Arabidopsis thaliana: one gene and its partners. The protein of the gene in region 3 interacts with the protein of the main gene of each other region in a pairwise test. Each region holds a gene or a part of one and is shown on either strand. Other genes may lie near its edges. The genes, in order: WHY3, AT1G47655 and GATA14.

Region 1 (4,096 bases), on a different chromosome or scaffold from region 3:
TATATGCTGCATTAGAAAGATGGGAAGATGTGGAAAGTATCAGGCAGGTAATAGATCAGAAGCAACTGGTGAAACTTCCAGGTCTTAGTTTGTCTGGTTAAGTATATGCCGACTGGTCGAATATGAGCAAAGGCAGGGATCTCTTTGGGGGAGTATTGACTTGCTCTTGACTCGGGTCTCGTAAAGCAGGTGATTCACCAATTTAGGTTTACATCCACAGTGTGGAAGACACTGAAGGACCTAAACTAACAAAGGTAAACGGCTCAGTGTGCGGGGTATTACACTCGGTTTAATGTCTGAATGCGATAATCCGCACGATGATCTCTTTATCTTTGTTTGTTTAGGTCCCTTAGTTTCTTCTATACCGTGAATCCAATCCTGTATTGGATGAGCTGGTTTATGACCTCTGAATCGAGAGCATGTCTATGCTCCCTAAAGAGATCAGAGTATTAGATCCTTTGTGATCAAATATTATATGTAAACACTAGACAAGAGGATGAGTATCTGATTCTTGTATTAGCAAAATTGTAATTGATTGCTTTTGAATGAATACAGATTGTCTAACACAAAATATAAGTTATTTCCTACACAACAACACATTCCATTTGGTCTAAACTACTTCAGTCTCTGCTGCTGCTTTTCTTTCCGTTCTCTATCTCGAACAGCTCTTGGTGACTCATTGATTTGCAACAACAAAAAGATGGTATGGACCGAAAAACCGAGTTTGCAAGATTGCCTCTAATCTCCATCATCTACTCCATTCGTAGTCTCCTCCATACTTAGGCGAAGCATTGTTAAGGCGGTTAGAGTCTTCTGGTTTGATGGAGTTAGCAAATGCACTCCAGCCTATAAGGTGCGGCAAGACGAACTGCAATTCAAGTATACAGTTAGAACAACGGGGAAAGCTTCTCACAAAGAGTGTGTGAGAGAGAACTTACGTTGAAAGCAGAGATAAGAACAGCAAACTCTGCTTTAGTGATTGGTATGTATACACTCTCATCTACATTCAAGAGCTTGTTTTGAACACCTTCATGAAAAATCAACAGTTGAAATCAGAAGAGCTAGACGAAAATAAAGAAGAAGAGAGGAATAAAGCTTTTGCTTACTCAGGTTAAAGAAGCGGCCAGAACCATCTGGGAGCGGCTCAACTTTCAACACTTTCCTCACTTTACCTTCATCACTACTACTCAACACCAACACCACATTGATTACGAATCAGAACTACAGAGAACAACACTATCTGTGTAATGAAATAAAATCCTAAATCATACCCTTTTCCCTTGAATGGATCATGGAAGAATTCACATGATTCCCTCGGCCCAAGGCTAACTAGATTACCGATTTCTGTAACCGACAACGAGAAGACCTGCATCATTCGACATCAAAAAATGATTTAACCAGTCACAATATTAAGCAAAAGACTGTTTCTTTCACCAAAGCAAATCATGATCATTATCACAATCCATATACTACCAAGTTAAAGATCCAAACCTACATCTTTTCTACATCAAAACATAATCTTACCACAATCATAATATCTTTCACCAAACCAATTGATTTTCATCATCACAATCTATAAATACCAAGTTCATGATAAAAAGTAGACCTGCAACATTTCAAATCAAACATATCTAACTAACCACAAACACTATAGAAAGTCAAAAGGCTGCTGCTTTCACCAGATCAAGTCATGAATTCTTCTATCACAATCTATGAAGTAGTAAGTGAAAGATAAAAACCAAACCTGCTTCCTACTCCAATCATATTGACGAACACCAGCTGCAGGAGCAAATTGGAGCAACAAAAAACCTTCCTTTGTCAGCTTGAACGCACCAGACTGGATCAGAACATGAAGAATGGAGATCAATCTAAGATCAAACAAACAATACAATAGAGTTTTTGATCTTCGACAAAGACACATACTTCCAAAGCCACAAACTCTGGTGCTCGTGGTTCTATCGTAAGAGCAGCTTTCCCTTTGTAAATCGAATGACCCACGTAAAATCTAGGAGAAGATACTTCAGCTATAAAACCAAAACAAACAAACAAACAAAATTTCAAACTTTCTGAATTTCAAAGCTTCCCATTTTTCAAAGCTCAAACAATGAGTGAAAACCCTACCGTTTTGCGAAGAAGACGAGTCACCAAACCTCTGTTTCTCAAAGTAATCACTTTGTCGAGACTTCACCGTTAATTTCAACCTCGCCGTCGGTTTTAAAGGAATAATTTTTCCGGCGAATCCACCGGAGGTGAGAATTGAGTGAGAAGAGAGAAAACGAGCATCTGAAAACTTATGGTTTATGAAGGTTTTGGAGAAAACCGCCATTGGAGGAGAAGATAACAGCTGCGACATTGTTTTTCTTTTCACTCTCAATGCTTCTTCGTCTTCTTCACCGCGGGATTACGATGACGAAAAGGGTTTAGGAGAGAATACTTTCTGTTAATTCGTTTTTTACCCAATCATATTTAACATCTTACAAATGTGCCCCAATATAACCAACGTTTATAAGAAAGCCCTCCAACTTTTGCAAGACATTAACAAGAGATGAAAATAAACATTTTCGAAACATGAAAATAAACATTAACGAGAAAAGAATCGACGTTAGTAATTTCATATTCAAGAGTTTGTGCATCATTAATTTGTCTCTTCTCTTGAACATATTATCCAGTAGCATATGAGTTTATTGCTCTTGATTCTAACTTATAATGTTTTAAGTCATTTTCTGTACATATTTTCACTATTTGATAAATCAATTAAACAATCAAACAATATATAAATATATAATGTACGATGATACGCATCAATAGAAAAAAATATATTGCATACTATTTTTTTTTTAGCTACTCCAGAGTTTCAAAAAATCTTGCAAAACATATAATCTAATTCAACAAAAATGTATTTGTTGTATTTAGTTACAACTATTGACTTAAAATGGTGTTTGCGAAAAAAAAAAAAAAAAAACTATTGACGTTAGAGTTTGATGCATCCACTCAGCAAGTAAGTCCTCTCCCAAGCAATTTTAATGAGGGGAACCATGCAATTAAACCGTTATAGATGACTCATTCCCAAGGATCTGAAATTAAAAAGAATTAAAAAAAAAGTGTATATTGAAATCTACAGACACATCAAAACTAAACTGATTGAACTTTTGTACCTCAACTGCAGAAAAAGTAACAATTTTACATCCTCTAACTAGATTTAGGCTTACACGATAACTATTCAGTTTCGTGAGATACTCTAATGGATGGATTGTTGTTTTTCAACATCTAAGTCAAAAGTTTGCTAATCTCGAAAATAGTTAAATCTGATTATATACAAATGTATGACTTAACAAATTTCTTGTGTCGTTAAAGTATTAGATAACATTCAGAAACTATATTAAAATCTTAATTATGTATTTTTTTTAAAAACAAAAACAAAGTCTCTCTAAGATTAAAGTTCTTTTATAAAACTGTAACTTCCAAAAAAATGTATTCGACGTGAAAAAAACTTCTGTAAACAACAGATAATTACTGAATAATTCGTTCTTCAAGAGTCGAAGTGTCATTAATTTGCCTCTTCTCTCTAACATGTCATCGAGTAGCATATAAATTTATTGCTTTTGGCTATAATGTTATTGCTTTGTAATCATTTTCTATACATATTTCACTATTTGATCTATCAATTAAACATTCAAACAATAGATGTATTTATATAATCTACGATGATATGCATCAACAAATGAAAATTATTCTGCATATTTTTTTTTTGAACAACTCCATAATTTCATTTAATCGTGACCAAATCAACTACTATATTTGAAAGAAAAACTAATCAACCAAATTGAATCTAAATCTAGTGTAGTCTTATATCAACATCTAAATTCTAATTAAAATAGTAAATATGATTCATTTGTTTATACCTAAAATCTGATAAAATCATTAAAAAGTTAAAAATCAACAACATTTTAATGTATCTTATATATTAGTGTTGACAATGAGTAGATTAGTCAATGTATCTTATATATTAGCATTGATCCTTTAAACTTTTGATGTTGGTTCCTAGCATTATATATATTTTAATTTTTATAGAAAATTTGATTGATTCAAAAAAAAA
Region 2 (3,516 bases), on a different chromosome or scaffold from region 3:
AAACTTGAGCATCATTCTCAATATAGTCATGATGTAGTTACCGTTAATTATATTCAACACAATTCGTTTTTCTTGCTTTGACCACAATAGGAGACTACACAACAATATCTATTAGCTATATTCCCTACATTCAAATTTTATTTGAACGTTTAACCAAGTACACTCTAGCTGAGATGTTTGACACAAGGATTAAACCTAAAGATTTTTACAAAAAAATAACACTAGCTGATAAGTACACCATAATCTACATTAACCCTAAGAATTTCTAATCCATTGATCGAATGAAAGGTTTTAGTTCTTAGCATTCATATGAATTGTCTCATATGCTAAACACTAGACTCACATGACTTTGATATACAAAATCTTCTACACTGCAAATGAACAATGTTGTTGTTGATGTTTATCTATAATACAAACAAAATTAAGTTCAACGCAATTTCCTCATTTCAAAGATGTAGCAACAGAGCATCTCTTACTCACTTCTGCAACAGTACTTATGTACTTTTTCCCTTTTTGGACTTTTATGCTCAATTCATCTTTCTACATTTGACTATTCCTTTCAAAATATTAACCAACCAAAATAAAAAGAAAGAAACGTTTTTACTTTTTACTTGTAAATCCATTCCAATATGTTCGTCACATAAACAGAGGATTTATACACCAGAATTGTTGGACCTCAAAAACTAAAATAAATAAAAACATTTTTGCTTCAATTTGGTTTCTTTTGCTCTTCTTTCTAGGAAAAAAAAGAAAACAAACAGAAATTTCCAAAAAGACACCAACAAAAGAAGACAAAGGCAAGAAATCAGAAACGGTTTCATTTTCACTTAACATCGTTGGTTTGCATTGAGATCTCAAGACCAGGCCATATCAAACTGTCTCCTCCACTTTTACCTTCAATCTCCCCAATCTGCCACGTGTCACCACCACAACCATCAACCACCGGAATCTCTCCTACGGAAGAATCTCCAAGATACCCAATACTCATCTCCTCAAGCCCGTACCCGTACCCAAACCCGTAATCCAACCCACCATTTCCACTTCCTAAACCTAACAGAGAAGCAAAGCTTCCATGACCTGAAATTAAATTAGTAACCTTAGTTTGACTCGCTTCAGTCGTGGCTGGTTCTTGTGTCGTGGTGGTGATGACGGAAGAAGAGGAGGAAGAGGAGGTGGCAGTGGTGGAGAAAGAACGGTGACGTTTTGAGGAGCTTCGACGAGTTCCACCACCGACGGGGACGTCACGGAGTGTACCACCTTGAGTCCAGTAACGGCGGCAAGATTTGCAGTAGTAGCGAGGCTGAGCGAGGTTATAGTTGTTGTAGTAACAGAACTTGGTGGTGGTGGAGTTGCAGCGAGGACAAGGAAGAGGCTCAGCCAGATTTGGCGGTGGGTAAGCCGCCGTTGAGGGCTGAACTCTGGTGGGTCGGGTTTGGTTTGGTTCCGACGGCATATTAAGTTGAGAGTATGAGAAAACGAGAGAGAAGTTAATGGAGAGAAGAGAGAAGAGAGAAAGCGAAAGAGAAGGGGATGTTGTGAGAGTGGTGATGTGGTTTTTATATAGAGGCTTTTAGACGTTTTTTTCAGTTGCCTTTTATTTATTAATTGATACATATGAATTTAATTTATTTTCCCCTTCTAAAAATAATTTAATTCATATTTAGTTTTTTTTAAAAATAATTTCTTCTATATTAAATTTAACTAAAAAATGGTTAAAATATGAGAGTGGATTTAAAAATAGTATTTACTTCGTTAAAATGAATTATTAGCGGAATAGAGATGAGAGAAAAGTTTGTTGAAGATATTATGAAGCCTTTTCTCATTAATTGTAAAATGATTCTGTACAAATGTCTTATATACTTTACACTATACAATGGTTCTACTAAACCAACTAATACCAACTAAACCAATATACATATCTGATATGCCCCCTCAAGATGTGCATGAAAAGATATTAAGAATGCTCATCTTGGATTTAAGGTGTTCGAATTGATGGGGAAATAACGGATTAGTAAGAATGTCCGCTACTTGGTCTTCAGTTCGCACATGAAGCAACTTCAGCTCGCCATTGTCTAGTTTCTCCCTAACCGTGTGACAATCTAGCTCTATATGCTTCGTTCTTTCATGGAACACAGGATTTGTGGCGATGTAAATAGCAGTTGTGCTATCAGAATATAACACAGGAACCAAGTAGCTAGCTTTTAAAGACATGAGCAAAGTGTGAAGCCATACCAGTTCACACGTAACCAGTGCTAAGGCACGGTACTCAGCCTCTGCAGAAGATCTGGAAACCACATGCTGTTTCTTGGAACGCCAAGATATCAATGAATCACCCACAAACATGCTGAATCCAGTTGTTGATCTCCTACTATCTGGACAGGAAGCCCAATCTGAATCTGCAAAACCTTTAAGAGTAAGATCTGCAGATGCAGAATAGAACAGACCTTGGCCAACACTGCCTTTGATATATTGTAAAACTCGATAAGCAGCTTGAAGATGAGACGTCCTAGGAGCAGAGGAAAACTGACATAACTTGTTAACTGCAAAGGTGATGTCAAGTCTAGTAATTGTCAAATACATCAGCTTTCCTACAATACGACGGTATTGTTCTCTATCATCCAACAAATCACCATCAGTCTTCATCATCTTCACATTCGGGATCATGGGAACTGAAACAGGTTTACAGTTAACCATACCAGTAGATGCTAATAACTCAAGAGCATACTTTCTCTGGCAGATAGAAATACCAGCTTCAGTTCTAGCAATCTCAAGACCCAAAAAATATTTCAAATCCCCAAGATCTCTTAACTTGAATCGCTGTTGTAAATCCTGAGTCAATTGTATTGCAGCACCTTCACTTGTACTCGCAATAGCAATATCATCAACATAAACCAAAACAATCACAAATTCTCCATCATACTCTTTAATAAACAAAGTATGATCACCATGTGTCTTCTTAAAACCCAAATCAAGTAATGAAGCAGAAAACTTCTTAAACCACTGACGAGAGGCCTGTTTCAAACCATAAATGGATCTCTTCAATCGACAGACTGAATTAGGAGGTAGAGTGATACCTTTCCTTGCCGCATAACCTTCAGGTAACTTCATGTAAATCTCTTCCTCTAACTCACCATTCAAGAAAGCATTAGACACATCAAGCTGTTTTAAGAACCATTTCTTAGAGGCAGAAATCTTCAATAACAACTTGATTGTAGTCATCTTTGCCACTGGAGAGAAAGTATCTGTATAGTCTAGACCTTCTTTCTGAGTGTAACCCTTAGCAACCAATCTAGCCTTATACCGCTCAAGACTGCCATCTGCCAAAAACTTCAAACTGAATACCCATTTACACCCTACTGCCTTCTTCCCTGCAGGTAAAGTAGTAATCTCCCAAGTGTGTGTAGTTTCCATAGCACCAATCTCTGCATCAACAGCCTCACATCATTCTTTGGTGTCCTGTGCCTCAGCAAATGTGGTGGGAATAGGAATTTTTGTGATATTATTGATATAACACAT
Region 3 (3,309 bases):
AACTTAGAGGTCGCTGGTTCGAGTGACGCTTGGGACAAAATTAATATTACATGTCGTGGTTTCGGGCCTAGGAGGATTACGGGTTTCGGCCCAAAACCTCTTAGTATTCGAAAAAGAAAAAAAAATTGTCTATGAAATGACTTTGAGTTTTGCCCCTAAGAGACACTATAATGCGGATCCAATGGGCGGGACTAACAATGTATTGGTCCTTTCGAGCGGTCGATAAATTTTAACGTCTTGATCATAGAGTAATTTTGGTGAGACTTGTCTACATGTTGCTTCTAGATTGGAAAGAGGAAAATCACTCACATAATTACGATGAAATAGATTAGATATTCGTTTTCAGAAGTTTACTTTGTTTTAGTGCAAAGAGAAAGTAAATGTTAGCACAGTGATCTTTCTTCCACTACAAAAAGTTGGAATCCAATTGATTCATTAATAATTAACCCTTGAAGGAATAAATTATAAAGTATAACAAATTAATAACAGATTCCTGGCTTTTGGTTAGTATCAATGGGTGGCAACTTACATTAATTTATATTAGTAGGACAGTAAATAATCCGACCATGCTGTAAACATTTCACCATTTGTCATCATTTCAGGGTTCTATTTAACTTTGTGAATAACAAAGTGGATTCAATTTATATGGTAGAATGAATCATCAACTTCATAATCCTCTTGCCACTTCGGATAAAATTATATACAATACAAATAAAATACAAAATCATCTGAAATAGAAGCATTTAGATATACATTAAAACACTTTTCACCCTCTATTTCGTCAAGGATGACGTTTTACTGATTTTCTAAATACTTGACAGCGTTTCTAATTTGGTTACAAGAATTATTACTCTTTTTCTGTCAACAAATATAAAGCATATATACAAAAATTGAGAAAGATTTGTTGCCGAGAGGATAGTGAAGTACATCGTAAGTTAAAACAGAAAAAGAGGTTTCTATGGATTAATCAAGATTCAAGATTCAACAAATATGAACTTTCTAAGTTAGTTCACAAATTGCTGCAAAAAAATAAAAAAGTTAGTTCACAAATCAATTATGATAGATACCAAAGAGCTAAAGACATATGATGTTTTAGAGAGTTTTTTTTTTTTCATTAGATGGGATGTTTTACCGCCTTTTATGCAATGTTTATTATCTCTTTTAACGTAAAAAACAAATATAATCTCTTTCTTTGCATGTAAATTTCATTAAATAACAACACGATAATTCTGTTTATATTACATATACATTCGAATCAAATACTAAATTCTTATCTGTGAGAATAAAGAATCTATGTTTCCATATTATTCATTGTCCATTAATTTCGTTTTTTGCTTAGGATAGTATTAGTACAATAATTGTTCTGAATAATGTATATTTTTATTTTTAAAAAAGGATAATATAAAAATTAGATAGATTGTGTCAAATATTTTTTTATCCAAAATTCTTAGGATCGGACCTAACCGGATGAAATTTGATTAAATCAAAACACGAATAGAAGCCGAGCCAAATCAAACCATTCTCACACCCCAAACACCGTGAAGGCGTGAACCAACCTAAAGTTTGATTAACTCCGACCCAAATCCGAAAACACTCTGAGAGCAAGCCCTTCTAACCGTCTCTAGCTTCGCCCCTTTGTGTAACTCGGTTTAAATTCACCAAGCCGATCGTAAACAAACCTTGTTAACCGAAACCAATCATAGAAAGAGTATCTGAAATATGCCATGCATGCATATTAGTTTTATTACCTTTTTTATTTTATTATTTTGGTTAAAATCTTTCGACCGGAGAATTCTAAGGCAAAGAAACTATCCACTTCCCTTATAACTTTATTTAAATTCTATTTTTGAGGATATATATATGAGCTATATGCATATAAAGTCAACTTTTCTTTAAGAAAAGAATGTCGGGTCGTGAAGATGAAGAAGAAGATCTTGGAACTGCCATGCAGAAAATTCCCATCCCTGTCAACGTATTCGATAAAGAACCCATGGATTTGGATACGGTTTTCGGTTTTGCTGATGGAGTAAGAGAGATCATAGAAGATTCCAATTTACTAGTGAGTTTCCTTCAACTCTCCAAAACATGTTTTGGTTTTGAATAAAAATAAAACTCATCAATGTTCTTTTTACCATGTAGCTTGAGGAATCTCGAGAGTTTGATACAAACGATTCCAAACCGTCTCGAAACTTCTCAAATCTGCCAACCGCGACAAGAGGTCGTCTTCATGCACCAAAACGATCTGGAAACAAGCGAGGAAGACAAAAAAGACTGTCTTTCAAGAGTCCATCAGATCTTTTTGATTCTAAATTTGGCATTACCGACAAGAGTTGTTCACATTGCGGGACGAGAAAGACTCCGCTATGGAGAGAAGGACCGAGAGGAGCGGGAACGCTATGTAACGCGTGCGGGATGCGATACAGGACAGGTCGGCTACTTCCCGAGTACCGCCCTGCTTCAAGTCCGGATTTCAAACCTAACGTTCACTCCAACTTTCATCGAAAGGTTATGGAAATCAGAAGGGAGAGGAAGTCATCTCCTCCGAATAGCTTCGGTTTCTCGGAGTCGTATCATTCAACTAGGAAATTAGGGTTTTGAACTACTTTGTTTTTCTTTTATAAGTGTATAGATAAAACATGATATTTTATGTAAATGAGTTTTTTTTTTTTTACCATCTAAATTTATTATATATTGCAAATTATGAGAACTGTTATATAAACGATTTTATCACGGACAATTCCTTTCGACTCTCATTAGATCCACGACAGACGACACCTCCTTCTCCTTTTTCTTCTCCATGCTCTTGATGAACACTTCAATATCTTTTCTGCGTAGAATCCTCGCGAATTGATATAATTGTACATCGTGTGAAATCTCCTTCACACTTGCCTCCATTAATTTATAGTTTTACTTTTAGATGAGTTTAAAGACAAAACACCAAATCATATAGTACAAGTTTGAACGATAATTATTTTACACTTTATAGCAATCGTCTTTTCATTATTGAATAGAATTTGATGCCTTGAATCTAGTTCTGTTCTTCAATCTTAAATTATGAATTCCTTTTTCTATTATTTCCTTTACAAATGTAAAAACCTACAATTTCAGCCACTACAATTCACATGATGAAACAATTTTAAGAAAAACAAGTAATCTTATAACTAAAGAAAACAAGTACATATGAAGAAACAATTTCAATTTCAATTTCAATTTCAATCTTATAATTCTTTTAAACAAACTAAAAAGGATAAAAAGCAAGTAATCTTATAAATCAGATAATCTCAAATTCCGGAAGCATCATGCCCTAAA

The links.
Region 1: the proteins of GATA14 (region 3) and WHY3 interact in a two-hybrid assay, tested with the Arabidopsis thaliana proteins (one large-scale study listed by BioGRID).
Region 2: the proteins of GATA14 (region 3) and AT1G47655 interact in a two-hybrid assay, tested with the Arabidopsis thaliana proteins (one large-scale study listed by BioGRID).

Annotation. Positions count from the first base shown.
Region 1 is NC_003071.7:767,646-771,741, reverse strand, and holds WHY3 (ssDNA-binding transcriptional regulator), read right to left. Parts: upstream 2,409-4,096; 5' UTR 2,354-2,408; coding exon 2,122-2,353; intron 2,025-2,121; coding exon 1,924-2,024; intron 1,838-1,923; coding exon 1,745-1,837; intron 1,367-1,744; coding exon 1,272-1,366; intron 1,184-1,271; coding exon 1,107-1,183; intron 1,028-1,106; coding exon 939-1,027; intron 869-938; coding exon 749-868; 3' UTR 507-748; downstream 1-506. Other genes in the region: AT2G02750 (Pentatricopeptide repeat (PPR) superfamily protein), read left to right, coding at 1-101. UniProt on the Arabidopsis thaliana protein: Single-stranded DNA-binding protein that functions in both chloroplasts and nucleus. In chloroplasts, maintains plastid genome stability by preventing break-induced and short homology-dependent illegitimate recombinations.
Region 2 is NC_003070.9:17,523,374-17,526,889, reverse strand, and holds AT1G47655 (Dof-type zinc finger DNA-binding family protein), read right to left. Parts: upstream 1,549-3,516; 5' UTR 1,454-1,548; coding exon 824-1,453; 3' UTR 582-823; downstream 1-581. UniProt on the Arabidopsis thaliana protein: Transcription factor that binds specifically to a 5'-AA[AG]G-3' consensus core sequence.
Region 3 is NC_003074.8:16,535,635-16,538,943, forward strand, and holds GATA14 (GATA transcription factor 14), read left to right. Parts: upstream 1-1,903; coding exon 1,904-2,059; intron 2,060-2,139; coding exon 2,140-2,598; 3' UTR 2,599-2,671; downstream 2,672-3,309. UniProt on the Arabidopsis thaliana protein: Transcriptional activator that specifically binds 5'-GATA-3' or 5'-GAT-3' motifs within gene promoters. May be involved in the regulation of some light-responsive genes.